Linked DNA regions of Schizosaccharomyces pombe. The gene in region 2 interacts genetically with the main gene of each other region. Each region holds a gene or a part of one and is shown on either strand. Other genes may lie near its edges.

Region 1 (3,799 bases), 730 kb from region 2:
TGACCAGCTATGGTGAATCGGTGGACCGAATTATCGTTTTGTGACAACGGGAACGAAACGATTTTTTACCCACATTATTACCGAACTACACTCACATCCTGACCTTATGTATTTGGTTGGGGAATGACATGACTGAATTATAAATGATATACAAAAGTTTAAATTAAAATCACGTAAAAGCGAAGAAAACAAAAACAGAAACCAAAAAATTCTTGACCTTACTCGGTATTCTTTACAGTTTCCGTTCCTTTTGTAAGTATAAGAATAAAAACAATGCCTATTTTCGCTTTGCGGTTGCCTGCTGAGCAGAAAACTAAGCGAACCTTAATATTCTTTAAACTTTCCACCATATTTACTTTTATACATTAGAACTGTGTTGTTCAATTTCCTTAATTTTTTCGACTGCAAATTACAGTAAAGTAACAATACGTACTAGAGGATATACAAAATATCTGTTTTAAATGACAGATATTTACTATGTCTTTAATGAAAGATATAATACCTACTTGTAGGTAGTATTCTCTATCAGTAAGCCCATGCGCAAATATCGTACACTCAAAGGACTGATGATGAATGCTGGACAGGTCGGTACAATAACTTTTTGTAGCCAAGTCCATCGCCAAACGTTTCTCCTTCAACTAACTAACTAACTATAAGAACAATCATGCACGTATAACCAAATTATTGTTCCCGTATGCACATACGTTATTGTACATTTGAGTATGCAAACATGAAGGCGACACATCCGCTAACATGCCAAATGTATATCATTCATTGACTGCCACTCGCTTAGCTAAAAGTGCGAACGCATATGTAATTCTATGAGAAATTTAGTCATTTCCACATGTAACAGTAATTTTGCGAATACTAAGGCTAACATGACAATCGTAAGCCAAGAAGACTTCCTAATTTCACTTCAGACGGATGAGCAATTCACAACTAAAAGTTGCCTCAAATCACTACTACCTGTATCACGATTAGAATGAAAATGTCGGATTTTTGAGATGTTATCGCCATGATGCAATCTTTTCGCAACTAAGTACTTTTTCTATTAGCAAGATAAACCGACTCCTTGAAGCAACTTCATTCTCTAGTCCTTATTCTGATCTCCAAGTTAGGTAAATGGAAATTCAACTATTTGTGCAGAAACCCCATCTCCCATTATTACCCTTGCTGCTCTTCTTTCTATCTGTACACTTTGGGAAGGGACTGTTGAGTCGGACATTCAACACTTTTTACAGCCACCAAAAATAGGTTGCCTAGACTAACAATAGGAAGGAACTTGTCGTCATGTTAAAAATCGGCCTTGCTCATAATAATTATTTTATTATTTTATTTTTTTTTTATTAGTTTTGGACGCAGCGATAAAATGCCCGATAAGGTTAGAAAGAATAGGTTATTGGCAAGAAAGTAGGGTTAACAAGTGAGTCGGTAGAAAGCATGTTAATCAAGCGAGTATGCAAAGTCTTCGTCAAGGATTCCACTCACAATAGCAAAGGCAGCAAGTTGTTTGTAAATAGTAAACAAATGACATTTGGCATAAAACCGACCTTATCCACTTTACTTTTTCATCATTCATGAGAAATGCCACTTAATCAATGAATGATCATTTAGTGTAGATTAGCTCATTCAGCCGCTATTTCGTTGGAATCCAGTAATTTTAGAGTGTTTACGTATCGACAAAATTACGTATGATACCTAATACGTTAACAGTGCGGTATCTTAGGCTTCGGTAGACAAGTGGCCGTGTGGTATATGGTAAGAACGCGCAAATGGATGTTGTCAACAACCATAATCGCCATGTCTTCTAGCAATTCAGAGCAGAAAGTAGACGTTGCAGTAAGTTAAGATTGTACAGCTGAAATTGATTATTAACTGAAATAGAAATTAAGTCCAGAAGAACAGAAGCTTTTCCGTTTGTATGGACGACTTCCTCAGCGAAAGGATCTATTAGTTCAAAAATTACAGGTATGGAGGAATGGATGTGTTTTGGATAAATTGTCATATTTATTCTAACTCTACCCCTTTTTAGCAAGGTAGAAAATACTTTGATTCAGGCGACTATGCCTTAAACAAAGCTGGAAAGGCCTCCGATTCAGGTATCACTTGTATTGGTAAGGAGATTCCCTCTCCTGACACAATTCCTCACCGTGTTGTCAGTGCTGGGTCTCCTAATAAAGAGCCGTCTCTTCACACGAAACGACCCTCAGAGTCCTCGCCTAGTGGTGCCAGTAGCAGAAGGGAATCTGTCACGCGACACGACTTGGAAAGCAATGAAAATTGAGGTCATACACGTTGCTATTTTTGCGACAAGGTTGGAGGTTTAATTTGGCTTGGCTCTTAAAATTTGGTATTGCTTGTCGTGTGCGGAAATGCTGTGTGCAAAATTGTGGTCTGGCAAAATGGAACGAACGCGTTTGTTCAGCTGTCAAGAGTTATGAGAAATATATAACGATAAAAGTCTACGAAATGAAAACGCTTACTACTCTAATACTTCCCTTTTCTCTTCCTTACCCTTTTCTACGTAGTTGATGGAGGACAACACTTCTGTTTTATTCAATGCATCGCGCATTCCTTTTCTTCGTTTCTTACTTTAAATCTTTTTTTCATTTTCCTTTATCAACTGTTGTTCTATCTTGTAATTTCTTATATGGTTCACTTGTTTTTTTGTTGTCAGAACACTTGTCACGATTTTGGCTATATGGCATTGTTTAATTCCAATGTTTGATGATTGTTCTCGTCATCGCTCTTGCGTATTGCACTATTGTCGTCTCGTCTTTTTGTGAGTTTCAAGTGTTTTTACTTACTTTATTTTTCTTTTTACATTTATTTACAATGTAACGTTTTATCATTCTATAGAGCAAAATGAGCATATTCTAAAATTTAATTGTTGCCATTCGTCGCCACGTGGATACGGTGTCTCCAACGGTTTTACTTTCGAAAAAAATTTGCTGTATTTCTTTTGTTTTTCTTTTTTTTTTAGCGTGGCTTATCTTACTGAGCTTGGTCAATGTGATAGGAATAAAAAAATGAAGTGTTAATATATATTTTCTCGTAGTGCCAATTTTTTTGTGTTTGGCAGATTATTCAATTAGTCGTTAAGCATTCCTTCTTTTCTTGCTTTTTTTACTCATGAATAAGAGTAGTTATGCGTGAAATAGCATTCCTTATCGTATGTATCTACAAAGTTTTTTCGTCGAAAAAGATCACCGTAACAGTTATGTCGTCACGATACCTTCTTGAAATTGGATAAGTCAAGGTTAATAAAGCAGATATTCTTTGGTCGCTTCCACCCAAAGAATGTCGAATAAGGTGCGTGGCAGCATTATCATCAATGACCTTTGATGTTTTCTTAAACAGCGACCATGATTGTTTGTCATCCTGAGTTGTGTTCTTTTCGTTGGTAGTTTTACCCAAAACTGTATCTGCCCATTCTCCGACCAATTGTACTGCTTGTTCACTGGACATAGTGTCCCAAAGGCCATCGGAAGCCATAATTAGAAAGCGATGCTTCTTTGGATTCACGGTGATACTTTCAATTTCAGGGACCGCAGTAACATATGGAGGAGTTTTAACAGGGATGGGTGAAGCGGAAAAATATTCTCTGTGTAGTCTCTCGCTAATTTCCTGGGACCATTTGTAACGAGCGTCGCCAAAGGCTCTTGAAGGCATAAGACGTCCAAGAATCCTGTTATTACGAAGGACTTCTTCGCCTGGATGCTCAACTTCCAAGCGAGATGCTTCATCAGGATTCATTCCAGTTTGATCGCGACTAAGTGGGATAGCTTCCCAAGAGCCA
Region 2 (5,111 bases):
CCGGCCCCTAGATTACAATCTCGTCGCGCATCCATGCAAGAGACGCCATGGACCATCAAAGATTCATTTAACGTGGAAACTAAAGATGTGGTTCAACGATGTATACATACTCTTATTCCCACTGTAAATTTCTTTGATGTTGTAGATGATCGTCCCGATTTATACGGTCCTTTTTGGATAACCACTACGGTTATACAGGCTCTATTCTTTTCCAACTCAATTACCGAATACGCTCGTTATGCCACAGGGCATGGTACAAGTGGCTATTCTATAAAAAAGTTGATCTCTGCAGCATCAATTATTTATGGTTACACTACCATTATCGCCGTTTTGTTATGGGGTATCCTAGTGTGGAACAAATGCAACCCTAAGTTACTCGACTGTCTGTGTTTATATGGATATGCTAACATTGTTTGGCTTCCCGTTTCTTTAGCAACTCCTCCGTTTGGATTGCTATCTACTTTGGCCTCCCATATTGTCAAATATGTACTTACAGGGATTGGTTTGTTAATTTCCATTGTGTTTTTAACTAGAAATTTATATCCTATCTGTCAGCAAGCCGGATCAAATTTGTGCAAACTTTTATTGTTCGGAATTATCGTCTTTCACTGTTTGCTCGCTTTGTCTCTTCAACTCATATTCTTCAGTTAATATCCTAATTTGTGAGGAGTTTCTTTTATCAGTCGCATTGCTTCATTCGAAAATTATACTATTCCCCTTCTTTCATTCTTTAGAAAAGTCATTCAGCATTTAAGATCCTATTGAGTCTAAGTGTTGGTATACTCTATATGATTCAGTTTATACATATATTCGCTTTACATTTGATTTTCTACTCTTTTTACTATAGCTACTAATGTTCCCTCAATTTACTAGGTTTTTTTTTCAGGTGCAAAATACGTATAAATAATCATTTCTTATGCATTGATGAATCATGCCTTAGTAAAAATAATTGTAGCCTTTTTAGTGAACCAAAGACTTTATGACATTTAGTCATATTTTTGCAATCGATCTCCCGTCATTTATATAGAAAACTTAACACATTATTACTCGTTGTTCAACAAAAAAGAGCTGAAGGTAAATTAATGGTGAAGCTTAACCTGAAAAGTACTTTTACGATTTCAAATTCAGATTTTTTTCAACAAGAGAAAAAAACTTTGTGAGATATTGAAAAAACGTTGAAATTTACGATGCATCACCACAATTTCAAGATTAAAAAGGAACACGTAAAAAGAGAAAAAGAAAAATACTGTGGATAGCAAAGTACATATGTATCGATTCACGGCATACATGAAGGGAGATAAACAAAGCACCCTTTTATCATTAGTCCTAAAAACTTTATTTCTGTCATTAATGGTTAAAATGGTGTGTGTATATAAGAATACAATCTGAAAGAAGAAGGTAAGAAAACTCTTATTCCCGGAAGTTCAATAAAAAAGGAACTATGTTCAGTCTATCCGTAGATCATAAAAACAAACCAAACTCCACATAAGGACATTAGAGCTTAGAGAAAACAAAAAGCTATTGAAACATTAGTAAACAAAAAGTTGATAAGCAAACGTACATTATTAGTAGCGGCGATGGCAACTGAGTCTTCAAAGGGATGCCAACTGGCATGTAATATCTTCTTATTGTAATCCAGGTTATCAGGATCAAGGCCAACAGAAGCAGATCCCATCGCAGCTTGAGGTTGTGACCGCCAATCATTATTTTTCACAGCATTCAACTTTGGAACGTTATTTGCAGCAGATTTTCTGGCTCTAAATGCAGCCTTGTCGGCTTGCAAAACTATCTGTCCTCTATCGCCAGGCAAAGAACTATCTGTGGGGTAAATCCCAAAGTTGTTGCTATAACTTCCTGATAAAACGTGTTTGTCGTCACCAGAAAAGGTACACTCGAATTTATCAAAAATACAGTCATTTTCATAGAGATCGCATAACTTTGATCGCAAAACATCATGCAATGGAATAGTTTTAACGGGAGCTTTTTCCATGTTGACATCCCATATCTTAAGAGTTAAATAATCTCTTGAAAGAATATAGCGGCCATTTTGTGAGAACTTAACGTCTGAAATGCTAGAGATGATTTCAGAAAAGAAACTCTTGGAATCTTGATCTTCTTGATCCTCGAAAAGCTTACATGGATTATCGCAGAGCGCAGATTGACGCAAATCTAAGAGTTTGATATTTCCCTTGCTGCTACTATACATGAGATGATTGCAGTTTATCGGGTGAAACTCGGCACTAGTAATAACTTCCGTAAGTTCTTCCATATTTTCAGGTTTAATGTCAACTATGTTGAATGAATGATCGGAGATGGACAAGTTCCATAAGTTGATACGTAAATCATCAGCGGAAATGTAAGTTTCTGCATCAGAGTTAACGCTAATCGAATTAATATGATATGCGTGTGCATTAGCGTAAACACGTCGTGGATATGCAGCGATAATCATGTCATGATGGTTGAGTCGTGGGAGTCGAAGTTGCGAAGGTGTTGTCAAAGGTCCTTGCATAGGACTGTGGAAACTGTCCGACAAATTATTTTCGGCAACGACTTTCAAATTCTTTTCATATAGTTTCCACAATTTTATAGTTTTATCATTCGTTGAGAGTAAAAAATGCGCTCGATTAGTCCTCTTGCACCAGCGAATTTTATTGATCTTTTCTTCGATTTCTAAGGACTTGAGATAATCAAACTCGGGTTCATGACTTTGAAATTCAGTAAAAAACTTATACTCACAACCCTTTTTCGAATGATTTCGCTCAAAAAGAACGACTCTGCCACCTTTATCGCCGGTTGCTAGATAATCACCTGTGTGGTCGAATTCTACTGCTGAAATGATATCGGCTAAACTTGTTAGTCATTTATTCAGTGATTAAAGTAAAAGAGAACTCTTTTATGAGAGAACTACTCAAAACCAATACCTTCAGTGATGTCTTCCACATCACCCTTGTCACCAAAGCATCTAAAGAGTTAGTCATTAATTTTTTTCACACATCGTTTACATACTGGGCAAATTTCCACTGATCCAAAGAGTCTTCTATATCATCCATCTTCTACTCGTATTATATTAAGATTTCGTTCCCGTTGGTACACTTTGCCAATTTCAATTGTATACGAAGATCTTGATCTTCAAATTTCTAAGGGTATCTCTATACCGTCTTTGGATCTTTTTTCAAAAGTTTTGATACAAAGTTTCCCAGTTTTCACTGGCTTTTTTGGAGGGCTGCTGATTTTCCTAACTTGATGGTTCGTATCAAATGCTGCTACCCTAACGAATCTACACCACTCTTCGGCGAGTCAAAAGCTCAGTAAAATTTTTATCGGTAAATCAAGCCTTAAGCGACTTTAAGTTATTAATGGATTTTTGATAAATACAACACTATTTCATTACTTCAGTGTTCATCTTACGCTTTACTACACATAGGATTTTTTGCTCAACTTTACAAAGTCCAGTGTAAAACTTGTTGGCAATTTCCCATTAATGAAACCTTAATCATTTGTACGCTAAAGAAAGGTGTTTTTGATTATAAAAAACTAGAAGTTCATTGTCATATAAAAGATCCATATTGTTTTTATAGTTTGCAAAATTGAATACAGCAGATAAGTAAATTACAAAAAAATAAGAAACATAACTGGAAAGTAGCAAATATTTTACGAATAACGTATGAATGATTAAATGAATAAACCGTCCTTGATACATTACGATGGCGCTCTACGTAAGCGTTTTACATACTGGTAAACGATACTTAAGTTCCTAAATTTTCTTTTCCTTCTATGTTGCAAAAAACATATGTAAAAGGGAGACTTATTATTTAAAACTTATTTTTCGGTTTCTAAATACTTCTATTATCCCGATTATGTGTCGATTTGGTTCGCCGCAACCAAGACAAACCCAACGTCGATAATTAATTTTATTCCATAAAAAAAAATCTCAATAATCAATGTACGGCATCACTAATTGCATATACTCCATTGATAACTTGATTTCATTACCTAATATACAGTGACACATTAAAAAACGCATCCTTTACCAGTCTTTCCGCTTTTGAGGAGGATGCGGAGGTTCAGAGTGTTTAGGACTAGAACATGTTAGTAATAGAAAGAGAAAGTCAACACTATAATTCTTCAAAAAACTTACTGAGCATCTGGGCAATTAGGGCCTAGCGGACAAAACCCAGCTAAATATTTTGGGCAAGGCCTTGGTTTTCGTACATGTTTGCCTCGACATATAGGTCCTAAAGGACAAAATCCCATATTATACCAGGCACAGACACCAACTTGTTTACTGGGATCCAAATGGAGATATAAACACTCTTCGCCATTAGAACACCAGCCGCGCTCTGCATAAAAGTGACATGGAGGCATCTTTTTTAAATTGTACTCGTGTAAAAAATCACACTGTTCACCTTTTTTACAAAGTCCACGAAGCCTTATATAATATTAGTTATCATGAAGGTAGAAACAAAAACAAATAGAAAAATACATGAAATATATATTCATATTACTCTTCTTTATATATACATACCAATGCTTGCAAACCACGCTACCCATTTTCGATCCAGAATCGCGTCCATTTCCAGAGTTTAGCAAGGCAGACCTTCCGAAATTAAAATTTTGCTTTAAATAGTTATCAAAACGAAATTGAACTGAAGAAAAATCAGCTGCTATAGCTTTATCTTTGATATAATCAGTCATTTTGTAGTAACCAGTAGATGGCGGAGGCAACGTTGTTCAGTTGACTTGAATATCACAAATACTTTATTGACTGGCATTCACATACTATAAATGATGCTTATTAAACTAGAACGAATTAAATTATTCTTATAATATTCATGAAATCGCTATTGTTTTAAGGTTTTCTTCATAGGTATGTTTGAAACCTAAGTAAAGAATGATATTATGCAGCATACGAATAAAATAACTTTTATAAAACATATTCTTTTTATCTAAAATTTACCTCGTCAGAGACATAACTAATTGCTTCTGTTGAGAATTTTACTAACATACTAATTTGCAACAGAAAACGTATTATCTTCGCTTCCACATGCAAAACATATTCACATGACCAAGTACTTTTAAAGTTTTTACGAGCTTATAAAGGTAAAGAATCA
Region 3 (7,183 bases), 3.5 Mb from region 2:
ATGGTCGCTTAGGTGATTGGTATGCGATGAAAATTTAACTTGTGGTTTGATGAAATATATCTGATGGTTTGTTGTTTGTATGATCGTGGTGACCGCTGAATAATATAAACTTCTCTATGTTCATTCGAATTATCGATTAGCTAAACTGAGCTCAAGGCTTTTTCATGTGCTTTTTTTGTTCTCGTTCACAGCGGTTATCGGTTATTTATTTTTTACGAGCATAACTGCATCTCAAGAATCTTTTATATTTCTGCCCGCTATGTTAGTAAAGCAGAGTATCTAAGAAACCTGACACTGTTATGGTCGTCTATTTTTTTGAATTCGTGATTCTTTAACATCTCGTAATTTCATTTCGAAATATAATGAATCTTTAGCTTATAAGAAAAGTCATGTGATTAATGTTTTCAAGTAAGTTGTAGCTAAGAATAACTAATATTGTATTGTGTAAGTTGTTAGATTATACAGTAATATTGCACTATTATGAATACGACAATGATGGAGACGTTAATTTCAAGTTGTTAAAGAAGAAGTTGGTGTAAGTTTTCCATGTGCTTGAATTATCGAGCAATTCCTAATTTAACCGTTTTCCACACCACTGTTCTTCCCATGCTAACCTAAAACTAATAAACAGTTGCCAGGGATGATAATATATTTTTTATTGCAAATTAGTATCAGCCGATGCGTTTTCTCTAAAAATGGGTTTTACCATGTATGCAATAAAATGATCAACTTGTGATGAGTGAGTTATTCTCCCTACCAAAATTTTCGTTACGATATGGAAAATTTAGAAAAAACATAGTAAAGGAAATCGTTTTGCTTTTCGAATGAATTTCGGGGGTTCAACTCTAAAATGGAACTTTTCTTTGTGGTAGTGTACACGCTATACACTCTTTTAGTCAACTGTCAAGTAATCGAATTTGGAAATATGATCTTAACATAGAGTATAATGTATTCTTTTAAGATATACGGAAATTTATTAGAACGCTGTGCATGAGAGCGTGGGAGTGTAAAATCCGGTACAGAAAACGGTTTCTCTGATGACCCATCCATTACCAATTTTATTCAGCAGGTACTAATGAAAAGCGACAGAAATTATGATTTTGGAAAAGAATAGCAGTTATGACCTACTTATCTATTAACAAATTGGTAACTCCTTATGCATCAATAATACATATGCATTCCTTACCAACACAGCTGTGAGCATATTGAATGATGGGGTGTCTAAACAAAGCAACTCGAATATCCTATTTTCAACACTATGAATGGGCGCATTCATCCCTATTCCAACAGATCTGTAAACATTAGCCTGTGAACAAATTAGTAGTGCGAATCGGAGGAATAGTTGGGCTGCAAGGAGGGTATCCCTGCTTTAAAGAGGGATTGAAGAAGAACAGGTTTTAATCCTAACTGCCAAAATATCAATCCTCCATCTATAATTGGTACTAAGCGGATTAAGCGCATACGTGCATGCGCGCAGTCGCACTTTTGTTTGAGACCTTTCCGCGCAAAATCATGTTACAGAAATGAAAGCAGAATAACACATCATGGAAGACATTTCCAAAAAAAATCCGCATTTCTACAGCTTGCATTACATTGTCTCGCTTTCCTTTCAATCACCAACCTTTTTTCATCTTGCAATGAAAATTCATAAACCGAAGTATAGCGATCAACGATATATAATTATATAATTATTGCCATCGAAATCGTTATTTAAGACATCGGCTCGCGATCTCTCCCCTTAGTGAATCCTGATCAAGGGATAAGTAAGCACAGGTATCAATCGTCCCAGGGTAACAATGATTAGCCTCTACGCACTGCTCACTCATATAAATATTGACACAGTCATCAAGAGCCACCCACGTTCATAAATTGGGTGTTTGATTAGAATATCAATTGGTTACCGTATTGTCTATGTTTTTTTAGTCGATAGATTGGGTTTTATGAAATAACGAAACGCTAATTGTATTCGAATGGTTTTACTTGTCGCACATTAGGATCAAAATCTGAATGGAGTTATAAAGTTAATGGTAATGCAAGAACGCAATTCCAACGAGGATAACAAAGTAAATCACGGAATAGACAACATTTATGTCTTGGAGTTAGATTTAGACGGATCTGTGCTGTTTGCAAGTACAAACTTCTCACAGATTACCGGGTAAGTGCAGTGGAATAGCGGGCGATGTTACGAAATTTCTCTGTGTTGTTGGCAGAAGGATACCATTGCTTGCTAGAATATTTATATTGTACATTTAATTTGTATCTTTCTTTTAACGATTCGGTTGGTATGACTTTGCAGATTACGCAAAAATAGCCATTGAATAAGGCTTCAATTGCCTTGATCTGTAAGTCATACGTATAATACTTAAATCTTCTATTTGCTGCCGACCTGTTTTAGTTCTTTTAAGCTGGATTGGCCAAGCTATGGCTGATACTCCTTGGGTCGCCTCTGTCCTTCAACTTTTGAAATCTTGCTCTTTTTCAATTTATTGCTAGGTCTTTTACTAACCAAGTTGCATAGAATTAGTTCGTTAGAACTTACTGGCAAACCTGCAGCTCTTCTGTCATCCGACCAGGAGATATTCAACGCAGCCATTGAACAGCTTCTTGACGATGACTCCCACAGTGTTAAAATTCATACCGTGATTTCGAAGCTGCCCTCCTTGGAGGAAAATGTCTTTGTTCAGGATGAGGAAATGGAGCTGCAATCAAAGTCTGTCGAATTGGATTGCGTTGGTGTCCTCATTCGTGATCCCTTAACCAGCCGACCCTCTCATACATTATGGGTTTTGCAACCTTTGAAGCCCACGCGAATCACTCGTCAGGAAATAGGCCAGCAACTCACAGAAACTCTAGGTTTTGGAGCTCAGTTACTGGCCCAACATCTTGAAAAGCTTCAAACCGTTCCTTCCACCGATAGTCTTCCTCCCTTTGAAACAGTACTTTGCAGGGTTTGCGATCATGAAATTCAAAATTGGTACTTTGAGCATCATACTGAACTTTGTCTTCTCATTCACCATGCTGAAGCACGTGCTCAAGAAGCAAATGACCTTCTTAACGAACAAAGAAATGCTTTACAAAGTTTGTTGGATTCTTTGGACGATCAGATAGAACCAGATGTATCATATTTGGGAGTTCCTCTCGCCGCCGTCCTTCCTTCCTCTATTACTTCCTCCGCGAAGTCGAATTCCCGGTCATCGTTGTCCCAAAAAATTAGAAATTACATTAGTAACATGCTGTTTGATGCCATAAGTTATACAGATAGTTGTTTAGCCATCCATTTACCTTTCATACCAGAATCCACTACCAGGGAAGACAATCAACCATTTAGTGAAATACGCTTATTATCACCAGCTAGTGAGGTTTTCAATGCAAAAACTCTTTCATGGTGCTTACCACATATTGATGACCCTGGGTTGCAATTGATGTTTGAAAACACGGATGCCTTAGTAAAAAAAAAGCTTGATGCCATTAATCGTCTCAGCAACATCATCTATTATTCTGAGCGTGTTCGTTGTGAAATTGAAGATCAAGTGCAGACCATTATTGAACAATCCATTCAAGTTGATGGTTATGACGAACCTCTCAGTACTACGACTCCTACACTTATTGAACCAATTCAAGAAACCCTTATGACACAATCTCCTATTATTGAATGCGAACCATTTAATACAGTTAAGCCTTCTGTTTCTCCTGAGGAAGTGCACGATATTTCACAGTTCAACCATAGGAATGATCCGCCGATTACTGCTGCTAGTGTTGATTCATCCAATTCTTTTTCAGTCCACCGTTCCTCTACAAATCACAGTAGTACTAATAGTGGATCTCCCAACCTAAGCCGTCGCAACAACCTTGCAATCCCCATTGCTTCTAGAAGAAAATCTGTGAGTGCAGTTAATACTTTATATGGAGTTGGTTCTTCCTATACCTCTGAAAGTTTTCCCTTTAGTAAACTTACTGTCCCAGTTGAGCGTAATTCTTTCCGTGAAACAGAGTCACCAAAACCATTTTTGAGTCGCCAGATTGGCATATCGACACTGTCATCCAACATTAGCAGTGGTAAAGGGACTCCTTCTATTCAAGATTACGAAATTATAAAGCCTATTAGTAAAGGAACCTTCGGCACTGTTTACCTTTCCCGTAAAAATACCACTGGGGAGATTTACGCCATTAAGGTCTTAAGAAAAGTTGACATGATTTCAAAAAATCAGGTCGCTAATGTGAAAGCTGAAAGGGCTGTGCTTATGGCGCAAGAAGAATCTGCATTTGTTGCAAAATTGTATTATGCCTTTCAAAGTAGGGATTACCTCTATCTTGTTATGGAATTCATGAATGGAGGGGATTGTGCATCCCTATTAAAATCGTTGTACACTATACCGGAATCGTGGGCAAAAATTTACATTGCTGAAGTTGCATTAGGTCTTGAGCATTTACATAGGCTTGGTATAATTCATCGTGACATTAAACCGGACAATATCCTTATGAGTATTACTGGACATCTGAAATTAGCGGATTTCGGCTTAAGTCAGTTAGGTTTAACTACACGGCAATTACGTTTACAAAAGGGTAAAAATAATATTTTGTCACCACCCAGCTTTCAATCTCCTACTGCGTTGGGTGATCCCGGTGATAATATTGCCAGTTCTCCCTTGATTTTACCTACCAGTGTTAGTGCTTTTTCGTATGATGAAAAATCGCAAAAGCAAAAAACAGAGTTGGCTACATTTACTACGTATAAAGAGGATGATACCACTACTACTACTCGTACGAGCATAGATAGCATCTCTAGTAAATATTTAGAAAGTCCAGTTGACTCTCAGAAAGTCAATCGGACTCCTAATTTACAATCGGTTCCTTTTTTTAGACAACCTGATGCTCCTAAAAGATTCGTTGGTACTCCTGACTATTTAGCACCTGAAACTCTTCGCGGAAGTACACAGGATGATATGGTTGATTGGTGGGCTCTTGGCTGTGTGTTGTTTGAGTTTCTGTTTGGTTATCCACCTTTTCACGCAGAGACCCCGGAAAAGGTATTTGAAAATATTTTGGCTAATAACATTGCATGGCCCGATTTAGAAATGTATCCTTGTTCCGAGGAAGCATTAGACTTGATTAATGGGTTTCTACAGCCAAATCCGGAGAGACGACTTGGGTTTTCGGATATTAATGAAATCAAAGAACATCCTTTTTTTAATGGGATTAATTGGGATGACATTTTTTCACACGAGGCTCCTTTTATACCTGCACCAGAAACCCCACTTGATACTGCATATTTTGATAGTCGTGGAGCTGGGGCTGCAGAATCTAACATGAGCTCATCTGTAAATAGCGGAGAGGAAGTTTCTAAGGATAATAATGTTTCTCAGGAAAGAGGTTCACAATTCCTTCGTTCATCTCATGGTCGCAGTCGTGAGAGAAGTACGTCAGCTCGTAGAAGCCGCCGATTTAGCGAAGCTAACTCAGAGTTTGACGAGTTTGGTCCCTTTTCTTATAAAAATTTAAGCGTTTTGGAAAGAGCTAATCGAAATGCTATTGAAAAAATAAGATCAGAAATAGCTGGCAAATTACATATATCCCCTCCGGATCCACACATTGGATACACCCCTGGTTCCGATATGCCTTCTGCAAAACTTTATGATCAGCAACTAACTTTAAGTCCCTCTTTAATGACAAACCAGGGCTCTAATTTTTCTTCCACTGATTCAACACCTAGGAAGTCCATTAACAGTTCTGATGTTGAATCTCGTTCTAAAACTGATGGCCCGAAGTCAATGCACGATTTGATTAAGCAACTGCATATGCGAAAGCATAGCTCTCATACGAATCAATCAACTGGTTCTTCTGAAAGTGATGATCTTTTTAATCTTGATCTTCCGATTTCGAATTTGGAAACTTCATATCCGTTTAAAATTGAGGAGGGTCAAGCATCTCCTTTGTCTTCTCCACTCTCAAAGACCCCTCCTTTTTTCTCTTCTTCAGTCCCCTTAAAGGCTTTGATATGTGTCAGCAAGCTGAATTTGTTTTCAGAGCTGATCAAGTTACTAAAATCATACAAGTTTCAAGTATCTATTGTTACCGATGAGGACAAAATGTTAAGAACTTTAATGGCTGATGAGAAGTTTTCGATCATATTTCTGCAATTAGATTTAACTCGTGTTTCTGGTGTTTCTATATTAAAGATTGTTCGATCAAGTAATTGTGCTAATCGAAATACGCCAGCTATAGCTTTGACACCTACCAGAATCGATATTAATGCTGCTATTCCTCGCATGTTTGATGGACGGTTATACTTGCCTATCAACGCGTTCCTTTTACGTGGTTATATAGCCCGGCTTTGCAATAAATGAGTTCAAACGTTTGTTAATCGTGATTGCTCATTTTTTGTTGTTACCATACTCTCTTTAATTTTTTCCTTTTTGTTTCTCGAATGTATAATAATTATAATAGTAATAATATTAATAACACTAATTTTTTTGAAAAAAGTTTACTTTTGTCAACTTACAAGACTTTTTTGGATTTATAACTTTTATTTTTACTGAGGTTTTTTCTACAGGATATGTAACAGTTAAAGTAATGAAAAAATAATAAGCCCAAAATAGCTCATCTTCTCCTGAACGACATTTCAATCCTATAAAGACTAACCTGAAACCGGTTTAGCAAATATTATAGAACCAGGTAACGTGAAAGTACAACAGTACATATCCTAGTTGTTTAGTTAGTTACATTAAAAGTGCTATATAAAGAAGGATATTACCTTGTTGGGAGCAACTTTTCGGACATAATAAAAGTCAACTTCTTCAGGAGAAAAACGATACCCCAACGAAGCGTATATCCGCTAAAAAAACTTGGTTAGTAAATTTTCATTTAAAGTAAGCATTTCATACATTTATAAGATCTTCCTCAGGATCGGGAAATCTACAAAAGCAGTGAACATGAACTTTTGGAAGAGAGCGGTCTTTAAACAAGTACTCCAATCCATAATAACAACCTTTGAAAGCATCTAAAAATTCAATCGCTGATCCGGGTAAATTCATTACATAGTGTGAAAATACAGGAGGGATGGGAATATCCTGTCTCACAGGATCTTTATTTTCTTCCAATTTACGTGCTCGCTTTCTCGGAGGAAAGACTGTAATGGCTTTTTCATCTTTAGAGAATCCTAATAGTTTCTGAACAGAGGAACGAA

The links.
Region 1: of pab1 (region 2) and igo1, changing one suppresses a phenotype caused by changing the other (phenotypic suppression), as found in Schizosaccharomyces pombe (one study listed by BioGRID).
Region 3: of pab1 (region 2) and ppk18, changing one suppresses a phenotype caused by changing the other (phenotypic suppression), as found in Schizosaccharomyces pombe (one study listed by BioGRID).

Annotation. Positions count from the first base shown.
Region 1 is NC_003424.3:1,237,141-1,240,939, forward strand, and holds igo1 (serine/threonine protein phosphatase inhibitor Igo1), read left to right. Parts: upstream 1-1,755; coding exon 1,756-1,839; intron 1,840-1,884; coding exon 1,885-1,968; exon of another isoform or gene 1,969-2,032; coding exon 2,033-2,284; 3' UTR 2,285-3,045; downstream 3,046-3,799. Other genes in the region: SPOM_SPAC10F6.17C (bifunctional phosphoprotein phospatase/[pyruvate dehydrogenase (acetyl-transferring)]-phosphatase), read right to left, coding at 3,181-3,799. UniProt on the Schizosaccharomyces pombe protein: Plays an essential role in initiation of the G0 program by preventing the degradation of specific nutrient-regulated mRNAs via the 5'-3' mRNA decay pathway.
Region 2 is NC_003424.3:506,642-511,752, forward strand, and holds pab1 (serine/threonine protein phosphatase PP2A regulatory subunit B-55 Pab1), read right to left. Parts: upstream 3,253-5,111; 5' UTR 3,051-3,252; coding exon 3,007-3,050; intron 2,963-3,006; coding exon 2,922-2,962; intron 2,845-2,921; coding exon 1,562-2,844; intron 1,540-1,561; exon of another isoform or gene 1,519-1,539; coding exon 1,495-1,518; 3' UTR 881-1,494; downstream 1-880. Other genes in the region: yip5 (Rab GTPase-binding protein), read left to right, coding at 1-651; cleavage and polyadenylation specificity factor complex subunit Yth1, read right to left, coding at 4,028-4,079, 4,139-4,429, 4,526-4,695. UniProt on the Schizosaccharomyces pombe protein: Phosphatase 2A affects a variety of biological processes in the cell such as transcription, cell cycle progression and cellular morphogenesis, and provides an initial identification of critical substrates for this phosphatase.
Region 3 is NC_003424.3:3,975,531-3,982,713, reverse strand, and holds ppk18 (serine/threonine protein kinase Ppk18), read left to right. Parts: upstream 1-1,858; 5' UTR 1,859-2,024; coding exon 2,025-2,155; exon of another isoform or gene 2,156-2,200; intron 2,201-2,518; coding exon 2,519-6,344; 3' UTR 6,345-6,462; downstream 6,463-7,183. Other genes in the region: SPOM_SPAPB18E9.04C (uncharacterized protein), read left to right, coding at 1-12; tRNA (guanine) methyltransferase Trm5, read right to left, coding at 6,635-6,700, 6,752-6,832, 6,882-7,183.